Bombyx mori: one gene and its partner. The protein of the gene in region 2 purifies or fractionates together with the protein of the main gene of each other region. This does not show direct contact. Links are inferred from orthologs where the notes say so. Each region holds a gene or a part of one and is shown on either strand. Other genes may lie near its edges.

What was found.
Region 1: the proteins of T-complex protein 1 subunit epsilon (region 2) and viral IAP-associated factor homolog purify together in Homo sapiens (co-immunoprecipitation; 3 studies listed by BioGRID and IntAct, with this or other methods). This does not show direct contact. The link is inferred for Bombyx mori from reciprocal best matches to the Homo sapiens genes CCT5 and PDCL3.

The regions. Positions count from the first base shown.
Region 1 is NC_085131.1:762,400-768,857, reverse strand, and holds the start of viral IAP-associated factor homolog, read right to left. Parts: upstream 3,804-6,458; 5' UTR 3,654-3,803; coding exon 3,648-3,653; intron 3,564-3,647; coding exon 3,431-3,563; intron 2,484-3,430; coding exon 2,255-2,483; intron 2,080-2,254; coding exon 1,871-2,079; intron 1,347-1,870; coding exon 1,234-1,346; 3' UTR 1-1,233. Other genes in the region: atlastin, read left to right, coding at 6,181-6,235. UniProt on the Homo sapiens protein: Acts as a chaperone for the angiogenic VEGF receptor KDR/VEGFR2, increasing its abundance by inhibiting its ubiquitination and degradation.
Region 2 is NC_085108.1:3,072,173-3,076,364, forward strand, and holds the start of T-complex protein 1 subunit epsilon, read right to left. Parts: upstream 2,801-4,192; 5' UTR 2,669-2,800; coding exon 2,561-2,668; intron 915-2,560; coding exon 680-914; intron 195-679; coding exon 1-194. UniProt on the Homo sapiens protein: Component of the chaperonin-containing T-complex (TRiC), a molecular chaperone complex that assists the folding of actin, tubulin and other proteins upon ATP hydrolysis.

The sequences.
Region 1 (6,458 bases), on a different chromosome or scaffold from region 2:
TACAACAGGTAACCGAGCCGCTCTTGTGTTAGTGCTATTCCTCGTTACACTTATCAGTTTAGATCTATACATACTACGATCTGACATTGATTGTACATAAATACACAATGATTAACCACATATTATAATGTCGTATAGGGTAATTGTCAACGTAAAGCATGAGGCGCTGGTAGAATACTCATACTATGAATTGATGTGCACAAATTGGATCAAAGTCTTAGTTATCAGGGAAGAGTACTTAAACATATAGAATAGCATTTACTCCACGAAAGCTAGAAATACAATGAAGCATTAAAACCCCAAAAAAGTCCCATAACTGGGTATACAAACTGTATGCGCTTGATGAAGTACTAATCAGACTATTTTGTTATTAGCATCCGGTTACGAATTGTATTTATGGACAATGAGTAAATAAACAAATAAATTAACATTGTGCATTAAAAACAAGAAATTAGTAATACTACATCCCAGAAGGCAAAAATTTTCAATATAACTTTTATAAATACAATAAGGCAAAAATATATTCATATTTTCATAAATAATTTCATTCTATTAAGACAGACATGATTCCCGCCTTCGTTATAAAGTTTTGGATAGGCCCTAGTGTATGTTTGAACGAAAAAAATTACAAATTCATTTCTTTTAGTCTCATCTACAATACATTTGTATAAAAATATATTTGTTACTATATTATTGAACTAAAACCTGTAGCCCTGTGTGAGTGACCAACTGCGCTGCGACGCGAGGCTTATTTGTCCTCATTTATAAGAGGTCAGTGAGCAAATTTTTTTTTTTCAAAGGATTAAATAAACAAATGCCCTTTGACCTGACCGTTTAAATCAAAATATATGACTTGAATTTCATACAGTCACATACTTTCGCAAGTTTTGTTGTAACAATTAAATCTAGTTATATCAATTGTTTGCGACTAAAGAAGTTTTAATTTTTATTTGAATCAATTACCACAAAAAGACTGCCATCAGACATGGGTTAACCGGTCTCTGTATATACGCCATTACTATAGATTTTTTTTTACAACGGGGTCCTATATAACAACACAAGTTCACTTGATAATGATGCTCATTTAGCACAAACCTTAATATATTAATTTAATACAGTTCACATAAGAAGCTTTTGATAAGTAAAGCGACAGAATACAGTTTAAAAAAAAAACATACTGTTAGATGTAACATAAAATATAAATTAACTTTAACATAAATTAATATTCTAAAATCACCAGTCATTACTTCCAAGGTCAGTAAACAACTTGTCTTTGATCTTTGGTCGGGGATCTTCTGTTATGCTCGTTTCGACAGCTCCAACCTTACCGAGTATGTATTCGAGTTCTGGAAATTCAAATACATTTATTTTATTACTTTCCACTAGCTCATCTCAATTTGACTATAATCACTAATATCTCACGGTTCAGACTCATTTTATTCATTATATTTTCATTTTTGTCTATTTTTCAATGTCAATATAATTTAATTCATACATAACTCTATAACAACCACTACAAAAGTGAATTGATTCACAAAGTTCACATAGAACTATTGGCCATGCTATATAAGGTATCAAGCTATCAATTACCATCATTTAAAAATTGATTTATTCACAGCTACTTCAACTACAATACACTGTATTGAAGTTCACTCTTGGTGGCAAAACGGATGCTTCTCAATGGAGACTCACATGTTATACTGCTACTGACTAAATTACTACTACTGTATTAAATTTGCTATTGGTGAGAAGCAAGCCTTGTGGTGCTATTGTTATATGATAACAATCACTAATAGTAATCCTTACTAAAAATGTAACCAATTATAATTAAATTAAAAAAAAACTATAAAAATCAATTCTCATAGCTTACCATCACAAGTCAAACTGGTGCCCCTTAGTTCGTGGGACCCCACAAACTGCTGCTTCATTTCGCCCTCAAAGTAAACAAATAAACTAGGCAGATTCCTCTCTGGGAAGTTTGGGATGCAAGTCTGAGCAATGGCTTTCAAGAATTTTGTGTAGGGAAACTTGACTGCTAATTCTCGTAGATGTTGATTTATTAGTGCACATTGTTGTATTCTGAAATTTTTTGATTTATATGATTGATAATAATCATTGGAGCAGTCTGCAGATAAAGGGTCATAATGGCCCAATGACATAAAAAGTCAGTGCTAGGTTATCTAGAGGAAAAAAACTACATACATTGATATTGGTTTATCTAATGTCTTTATATCTTATTCATCGTTCCACTCACCCCTGTTTGTACAAATGAATGACCACCCAAATGTCTTGACCAGCCTTGTTAACCTCCTGCACATAATCTTGACCAGAGACTTCTCGCACTTCTCCGAATCTAGGCTTCTCAGACAGCTTCTTAATTTCTGCTAATCGTTTCCTGCGGTACTCTTCTATAACAGCCTCATCTTCTGAATCTTCAAGTTCGTCCAATCCATCAAGGTCTAACTCAGATAATTGTTTTTGTTCTGTGAATAAGTAAAAATTGTTATTATTGGAGACCATCACAGTCAGTCCAGTTAATTATGTAGTTTATAGTGTTCAAAACACTTGCCAAGGGTGGCTTGAACTCTCGTCCTCAGCATACAACTATCTACGATGGTGTTTTGGCTGATGTTAAAAAAAGTGTCCCTATCAACTGAACTGGCGTTCTACCAATGAAATGAACTCATTAACTATCCTATCAATTCTCTGCACCCAATAGGTGATGATTACTACATTTTTGAGGGAGTCACTTCTTAAATTCGTAGGGTTAATTGTTCAGTATGTCAGAATGGAAAACAAAACACAAAGTTAATTGTAAATTCATAGCTGAACATTTATAATTATAATAATACAGAGTGTGACTAACATTTTGTCAGATCTTTAAGAAAAATATTTCTTTAAACATTAGTAGTGTCTTAACATGTCTTGTTATTCCTGAATATTTTCAATTTAGTTTATATATAAATTCAAGCAAATGTATTTTGATGTAACAAATAATCACCAAAAAATTCATAATTGGTGAATATTCATTATCTATGCCAGTACAAAAATGAATGCGTCCCACTTAACTGTACTTACTAGAGCTAATTTAGGTGATGAGTCTCGCTTGGCTGAACATTTCATAAGGTGTTGGATGCAAAGAATTTTTTTAACAAAATGATTGAATTGCAGAAAGAAAACTATTAATTTGGTGACTGTTTAATTCCAGGATTCATTTAGTGTACTGGTGATGCATATCAATTATAAACTAGACTAGTCTAAAGGAATGTATAATGAATAATGAAATTATAGGTACTTAAACCAAAAAGTTTCGAAGTTCATTACGTTCAGTGTTTCCGGGTAATGATTCACTGTTGATTACTGATGAGCCAATACATATTGCATTTACATCGTAGAGCTTAACCTCAAAAATTCGTATTTGTTGACCTACTTTCAGCTTCCTTTTGCTGTATTGTGTCCTCTATCATGTTCACAATATCGGCCTCCGAAAACTCCGCTTCTTTCTGCGGTATAATACCCATCTTTCGAAGGGTATCGTTCCATTCTGTATCTTCATTGGGGTTCTAAAAATAAACAACAAAATAAAATTAAACTTTTCACTTTAATGTACTGCACATCATTTTACTGATAAGTTCCATTTATTATACCTGCATTTTATTAAATTAACAATTAAAATTCTAATAGTTGAAATACATAAACTTGCTCCAGCTTTTCAGGAAATTTGACACCAGATATTTTTTCCATAGACTTAACATTGAGACAGGCAAAGGAAACTTTGTCATGAAATATGTAGAACAATAGGTACCATGACATGGGGTAAATTGGGATCCTGGGGTAAATTGGGACAAACCTGCGGAAGATTCTCAAAGTACCTGTAGCACGGAATTTACCTAATTTTGTTTAAGTTAATATTTATCAATGTATAGAAGAAAAACCAAGTTAACTATGGAAGTACTAAATATGAGTTAAGTTGGTCCCAAAAATTCGTCAAATTAAATTGAAAATAGTGGTTGAAAAGTGAGTTTTAAAACAGCTTAAAGAACTTTTAAAAAAAGTAATATTATCGTTGTTTTTTCAATAAGATCACAGTTTATATAAGTTTTTAATACACCTGGAAATACCACAACAAACGGTAAGTTGCAATATTCTTATTTTAAATACAATATTTCGACAAAATAAAAAATGTATATTTTTTCCTTTCTTTTTGGGGAAAATTGGGACGTATGTAGGGTAATTGGGAACGAGACTGGAAAAATTAGGGACGAGAAAACACAAAATTGGAACGCCAAAAGACAAAATAGGGATGGCTTGTTAGGGTTGTCACTGATATCTTATAATAGATTTTTTAGCCTATACTATCACTTAATTGCGTGATGTAAAGAAGGTTAATGTGTTTATCAGTTAGTTTATGTAAGTATTATAGGTAAAAGAAAAGTATATATATAATTACTTTTTTTCGCGACATTTACCTTGTAATATCTGCCCGGTCGTATGTTCTTTATAGCAATAAAAAAAATTAAAAGTTAAAAGAACTCAAACGAATCAAAACTTTTGTTATTTCAGAATCTATTCACGCATCGAATCATGATTTTGTTAACATTCAAAACGCACACACAAATAAAAACAGGCCTCAGATTTTAAATGTAACATTAATTAAAAATCCGATATATCCAATTATGAGTGAGTGAATTAATTGAGTTTAGTTATTTAGCTTAGAAAGAATTTCTTTTATTTTTGTTATTATTGGCAGTAATCAGATAAAGCTGTTTTTTTATCTTATTCACCTGATATCTTACTCTTGCTCAAAGATTATTTTGAAAATGTTGATTAAATAAAATTGTATTATTGCATTTCCAGTCCTTTTGTTTTCTATTTTTTATTCTATTTTATCAATTTGTTTCAGAGTTGTGATTTTTAAGGAAATTAAATAATAATTTTCTAAAATATAACATGCACATACTTTTTTTGATCATTGTATTGTTGATTATCATTCACGTCACATCGCTTCGGAATAGAAACCAGCTTAATTTACACTATGTTGTGTATTGTGCTTAAATTATGGATTGTATTCATCATTTCGGTCCATATAAATAATTATATGGCACCTACCTATATATCGCAGTACTGCGAGTTGACAACCCTTACAAATATCCCAATTTAACCCTTAACCGTGTCAATTTACCCCGGACGCTGGGTAAATTGGGACGGCCATTATTTTACCGATTATTTCTTTAAAATGAATAATTAAAATTATGTAACGGTTTTTATCACCTAGGTACGTTCAAGACTCAACTTATTTATTTGGTTGAGCAGTGACTATTTTATTGGAACTATTTTAAAATTCAATCTGAAGGTCGATTTTGTCCCTATTTACCCCATTGTACGGTACCTACTGAACCTGTCATTAAAATTTAGAAAGAGTTTTAGAAGCCATTTTCAGTGAATTTCGTTTTTCCACACACACACAAAATAAATGGTTAGCCTACAAATACTCTACGATTTCAAACTGATCAAAAAAAGCCAAACATTGAACACATTTTTAATTACTTGTTACCACTAACGCCAAATGTTCCAATATCATTTGAAAATAATGTGAAAAACTTAGCATGCAAGGGCTAGATCGATGTCATTTAGATATTAAGAGAACTGAAATGTCTATGAGATTCAGTAACCATTTCATCACCTCGTCTGTCCAAGGAATATGATTCTGAAAAAGAACTAATAAAATCACTACCATCACTTTAAATGAAAAAGCTGGCTACGCCCTCTATAAATAAAGCTTTGATTTTAGCAGTTTTATTTGACACTTTTATCGTTTAGCAAGATTAAATAATTTGTACAAATTACATAAATAAATTATTTGACTCCACAAAAGTAATCATATAATACTCTCTCAATTTCTATCTCTATGTATAATTACTTCCTAAAGATGATTGATTTAAAGGTTCAGGCCATAAAATCATAAAGAATATCACAAAAATGACAGTTTCAAATGGAATCACGACTTTAACCCATAGCTTTAACCGGTTTTTTGTATTTACTCCAGAATTGACAAATGACACGTCTATCAATTTACGTAAATGTCAACTTGTCAATATTGTCAACCAACCTGCGTCGTGTTGGAAAAATTTTACGTCGCTATGTTCAGTGAAGTTAGTGTCCGTAATAAATAAATTGAATATGGCTGAAAACGAAGGACATAAACATCGGGAACGCTATGACCATGAGGGAGAAGGTAAATTATGTTACGATTTTTCTGTGTATAGTCCGCGGTTAGTGTGTTCGACGTCCGCGCGAGGCTGAGACGTCTTCAGTACCCTCGTGTTGCATTTGTGACATTGAAATTGGGTTCTTTTTATAATTGCTGCGTGGATCGTGGTCCTGGGCTGCCAGGAACGGAGCGCACGGTCAACCTCGAGCTTTGACTGGTTCATTAGGCATCAAACTTCGTGAGAATG
Region 2 (4,192 bases):
CACCACTTTACTGCCCAAGGTTGTCATGGCCACCTTAATTAAATTTTCCCTCGTATTCTTGTTGACTGGGAAAGCTTCACTGACGCTGTCAAGATGGGTCAGTGCCAGGGCGGCAGCCATCTCATAACCATCGGCTATACGAATCGGATGGATACCTTTGTCCAACAGATTTGAGGCTTGCTCAAGGAGTGCACCTAAAATTAATTGTAAAAGTTTAGCCCTGTGGTGACTTACACATGATTGCGTAGTTCACAAGTCTTTGTGTGAACGGCGCGAGGTGCGCCGTCGCAGCTTCCTGCGCCAGTCGTCCGCAGACCTCTGACCGCGAAGCTCACGTCACATTTACTCGCATACGCCTGTCTCGATTGACTAAGTTTATATTGAATGTTTAGTGTGTATAGTTTATGTCTCCTTCTTTGCCTGGACTTTTTCTTACTGTTTGCTGTGAACTATTCAACTGTGCTTGTGCTTGTCGCTTTTCTCCTTCTAATCGTTTTTATGTAATAAATTGCTGTGTGTGTGAAATTGGACATAATCATTCCAGTAACGGATCTAAACCCCATATTGCCTGAACCAAGGCTCACGCAGCAGACCCCATAAGCCCCAAAAATGACTTTATGATAAGAGCAGAGAGTAGTCATGTTGAGTACTATAAATACTTATTGAACTTGACACTTACCAGCAAGAACAACAACCCCTGTGGTACCATCACCAATTTCGTCATCTTGACTCTGAGCCAATTGCACAAGTAGTTTACCAATCTGATGCTCAACGTCCATCATTTTTAGAATTGTAGCCCCATCATTTGTTACTGTCACATCACCATCAGACGACACCATAAGCTTATCAAGACCGCGGGGACCAAGAGATGTGCGAAGAGTGCTTGCAATTTGTCGGGCTGCCTGTATATGTGACTGTAGAGAGAGAATATCAGGATTAGGTGACAATACAGAATTATTTAAAAAAAATTGTTGTGTATTAATACTCCAAATAAATATACTCAAGACTTCAAATATAATAACATTTATTCTTTTAAACCTAAGCTTAAAGTGCTATGCTAGTAGGTTTTTTCTTTTAAGCCTAAGCTTAAAGTGCTATGCTATGCTACTGGTGGTAGGATCTCTTGAGAGTCCGCGTTGGTAGGTACCACCACCCCGCTTATTTCTGCTGTGAAGCAGTAATGCATTTCAGTTTAAAGGGTGGGGTAGCCGTTGTAAGTATACCTGAGACCTTAGAACTTATGTCTCAAGGTGGGTGGTGCATTTGCATTGTAGATGTCTATGGACTCCAGTAACCACTTAACACCAGGTGGGTTGTGAGCTCGTCAAGCCATCTAAGCAATAAAAATAAAAATAAAACACCAAGTGGGAATAATACCAACACACAGATATGCATTGTAAGCACACACTTCACAAAGTTATGCCTTGAATCATATAAATCTATTAAAAAAATTCATAAATAAATTTAGTCTTTCACTAGATTCAACTCTGTTGGATACCTCAGTCCATAGAACAGGTGATTTCACAGTAAATCAATACACTACGTGTTTATTAAACATCATCAGTATCCAAGAATAAAGGACAAAATAATGAATGTGTGAAGGACAAAAGAAGAATGCAACTTGGGTATGAAGGAACAATTAGTGCTTTTAACATGTGTTATTTAATCTTGTCAATTTAATATTGTATACATACTTTAATGTATACTACAAATCAAATGAAATTAAGTGAGTGAAAATACTTCTAAAAAAAATTGTATTCGAGAAAATGAATAAGTATGAGGACAGAACGAAATCACTACACCCTCTACAGTTATCAAATATTTTCTAAAGTACAAATAGTATGTTTCGCAATTTTGCTAAGAAATTTAGTCAAGCTAAGAAGCCAAAAAATCACTGACCATAGATTATTAATATATATTATCTTTCAAATTCTTGAGAATTGAAAAATTGAATTTCAGCATTGTTTTATTGTGATATTATTTATTTTTTAATTTTAATGGGCTTAGTTTTAACTTATTCAATACAGTTTCATCTTTGACTTGTTAGTAAAAATACTTTTTTACAATGAAGTTCGTTTTAATAGTATTTTATTTTAGGCCAATTTTAGAAGGTAGGTTCATAGTTTTTATATAATCAAAGCGAATTAAATAAAAACTATGAACCTAATTTACTGTGACTTCAGTGTTTTAATCAACAATATTCGAAATTGTTATAAATCATGTGATTCATCTTGAAATGTCAAGCACCTGTTTCACTTTGGAGTGATTTTCCTCGAAAATCTTGTACTGATGTCCTTGATTATGGATTAAAACATACTTTTAAACTTTAAATAAACTATTTATATTAACTTTCATTGATAAAGTTATGGATATCACAAAATTTCTCGGCTTTCTAATTCTTCTTTTTCTAGGTTAATTTTCGATTTTGTTTTACAGAGCTGTACTGATTTATATATTTTTAACGCTTCGATTAGTTAATAAATGTTGATCAATTAGAATTAGAAAAACTTAAATGGGTAATTTCAATTACATTATAATAATTTAAATTTGAAATAGGTACCTTTATGGCATCGGTACCGGTAAGTCTTTTCTGTCTATCTTGATCCCTCAAGATTATAAATGGACGGCCATACTCATCAAAGGCCACCGATCCCGGGAACAGGGCCATTTTTCACGATTTAAATAGTGCACAAACGAAAGATGAAAATAGATTTAATATTTCTGTTCTCCGCAAGTACAAAACAAAACTCAAATTTTACAATCACAAATGTCAAAGTAAATCACACTCAAAGTTTTTTGTTTACTCGTACAGGCAAAGGAAACACGGACATTCAATCATCGTTGTTTTAAATTAATTATCTCTTTGTTATTCATATTAATCTTTAAACCTACATATTAATGTCCTAATGTAATAAAAATAGCCTTCATTGGCGTCCGCAGACCCATTTTTATCCACTACAATTGATTCCAATTACAATTCTTCGCCAACGTATGATTGTGGTCAAGCAATCGGCTCATTAGGTCAAGTTTACCAAGTGTGCACTCAACATATGATATCCCCTACTTTATTCCTTGCTCTTTGATTCTGACACCTTTTTTCTACTATAATTGAACGTATTTTTCACATTTACCAGTAGCAATTAATGCTAAGACTATAGGATCAGCTTGAAGCGAATGACATAGCACTGTAAATATTGACAAAGAATTTATTTTATTTATTCAATGGATCGAGTCTCTTCTTTGACGAATGACTCTGCCAATCTCAGGTAGATAGAATATCAGCGATACAGATAAATGGTAGCAGATGAGAAGAATGAGAACGGGAGAAAAAATTGTAAATATTTTTAGTTTAATGTTATTGCGGGAAATAAAATAAGCTAATGCATTTACAACTTTAGGATTAGGGAATGTTAAGAGATAGTTCATATTAACTGGGAACGGGACGTTAGTGTTAGTAATAGTCCAGTCACTTAAGTTTAAATTAGGTAAGAATCTCGGAATTCGAGATATCCAGCTGTAAGTCTGTAAATACTTGTATATTGACATCCTGAAAGTTGCCTCAAAACCTACATATGGTAGGGTGTACGCAACTATTCAATTTCAAGATCAAAGGTCACAAAAATCGTTTTTTTGCGCTTTTTTGTAAATATTTCATTTCCTATGGGTTTTTTGCTATTTGTATATATTACAATATTGTAGAATACAACATTCTCTACAAAATTTGTTTAAAAATTTTTTTCTTACGATGAACCGTTTTCGAGATAGAGGGCGGAGAGCGCGCGGTCACAGCATCACTTCAGGTCAACCGGTGTAGTATATACCTATATTTCATAGTTGTGCATTTAAAAATGAAAATAAAAAATGCAAATTCCAATACTTTTATTATTTCAAATTTTAAGCCTATGTACATTCAATCAGTACACCTTGACCGAGGCATACTTTGGATTCCAACACGAAGGACGAACTTCCTTGTTCTTAAATGCGTATTTTACATACATAATGAGCGATATTTCTATCTTATCTATCTTTTATTGTTATTATTTTTACAAATTGTACATAAGTATTGTATCTTTTCTTTATATGATTCTATCTTTCCAATTATTGTATGCTGTTGGCCTTCACCTATAAAAACCACATCAACCACTAAGGGAGCGTACCTAGTTGTTAATGCGTTGTCTTATCCCAGTTTCAT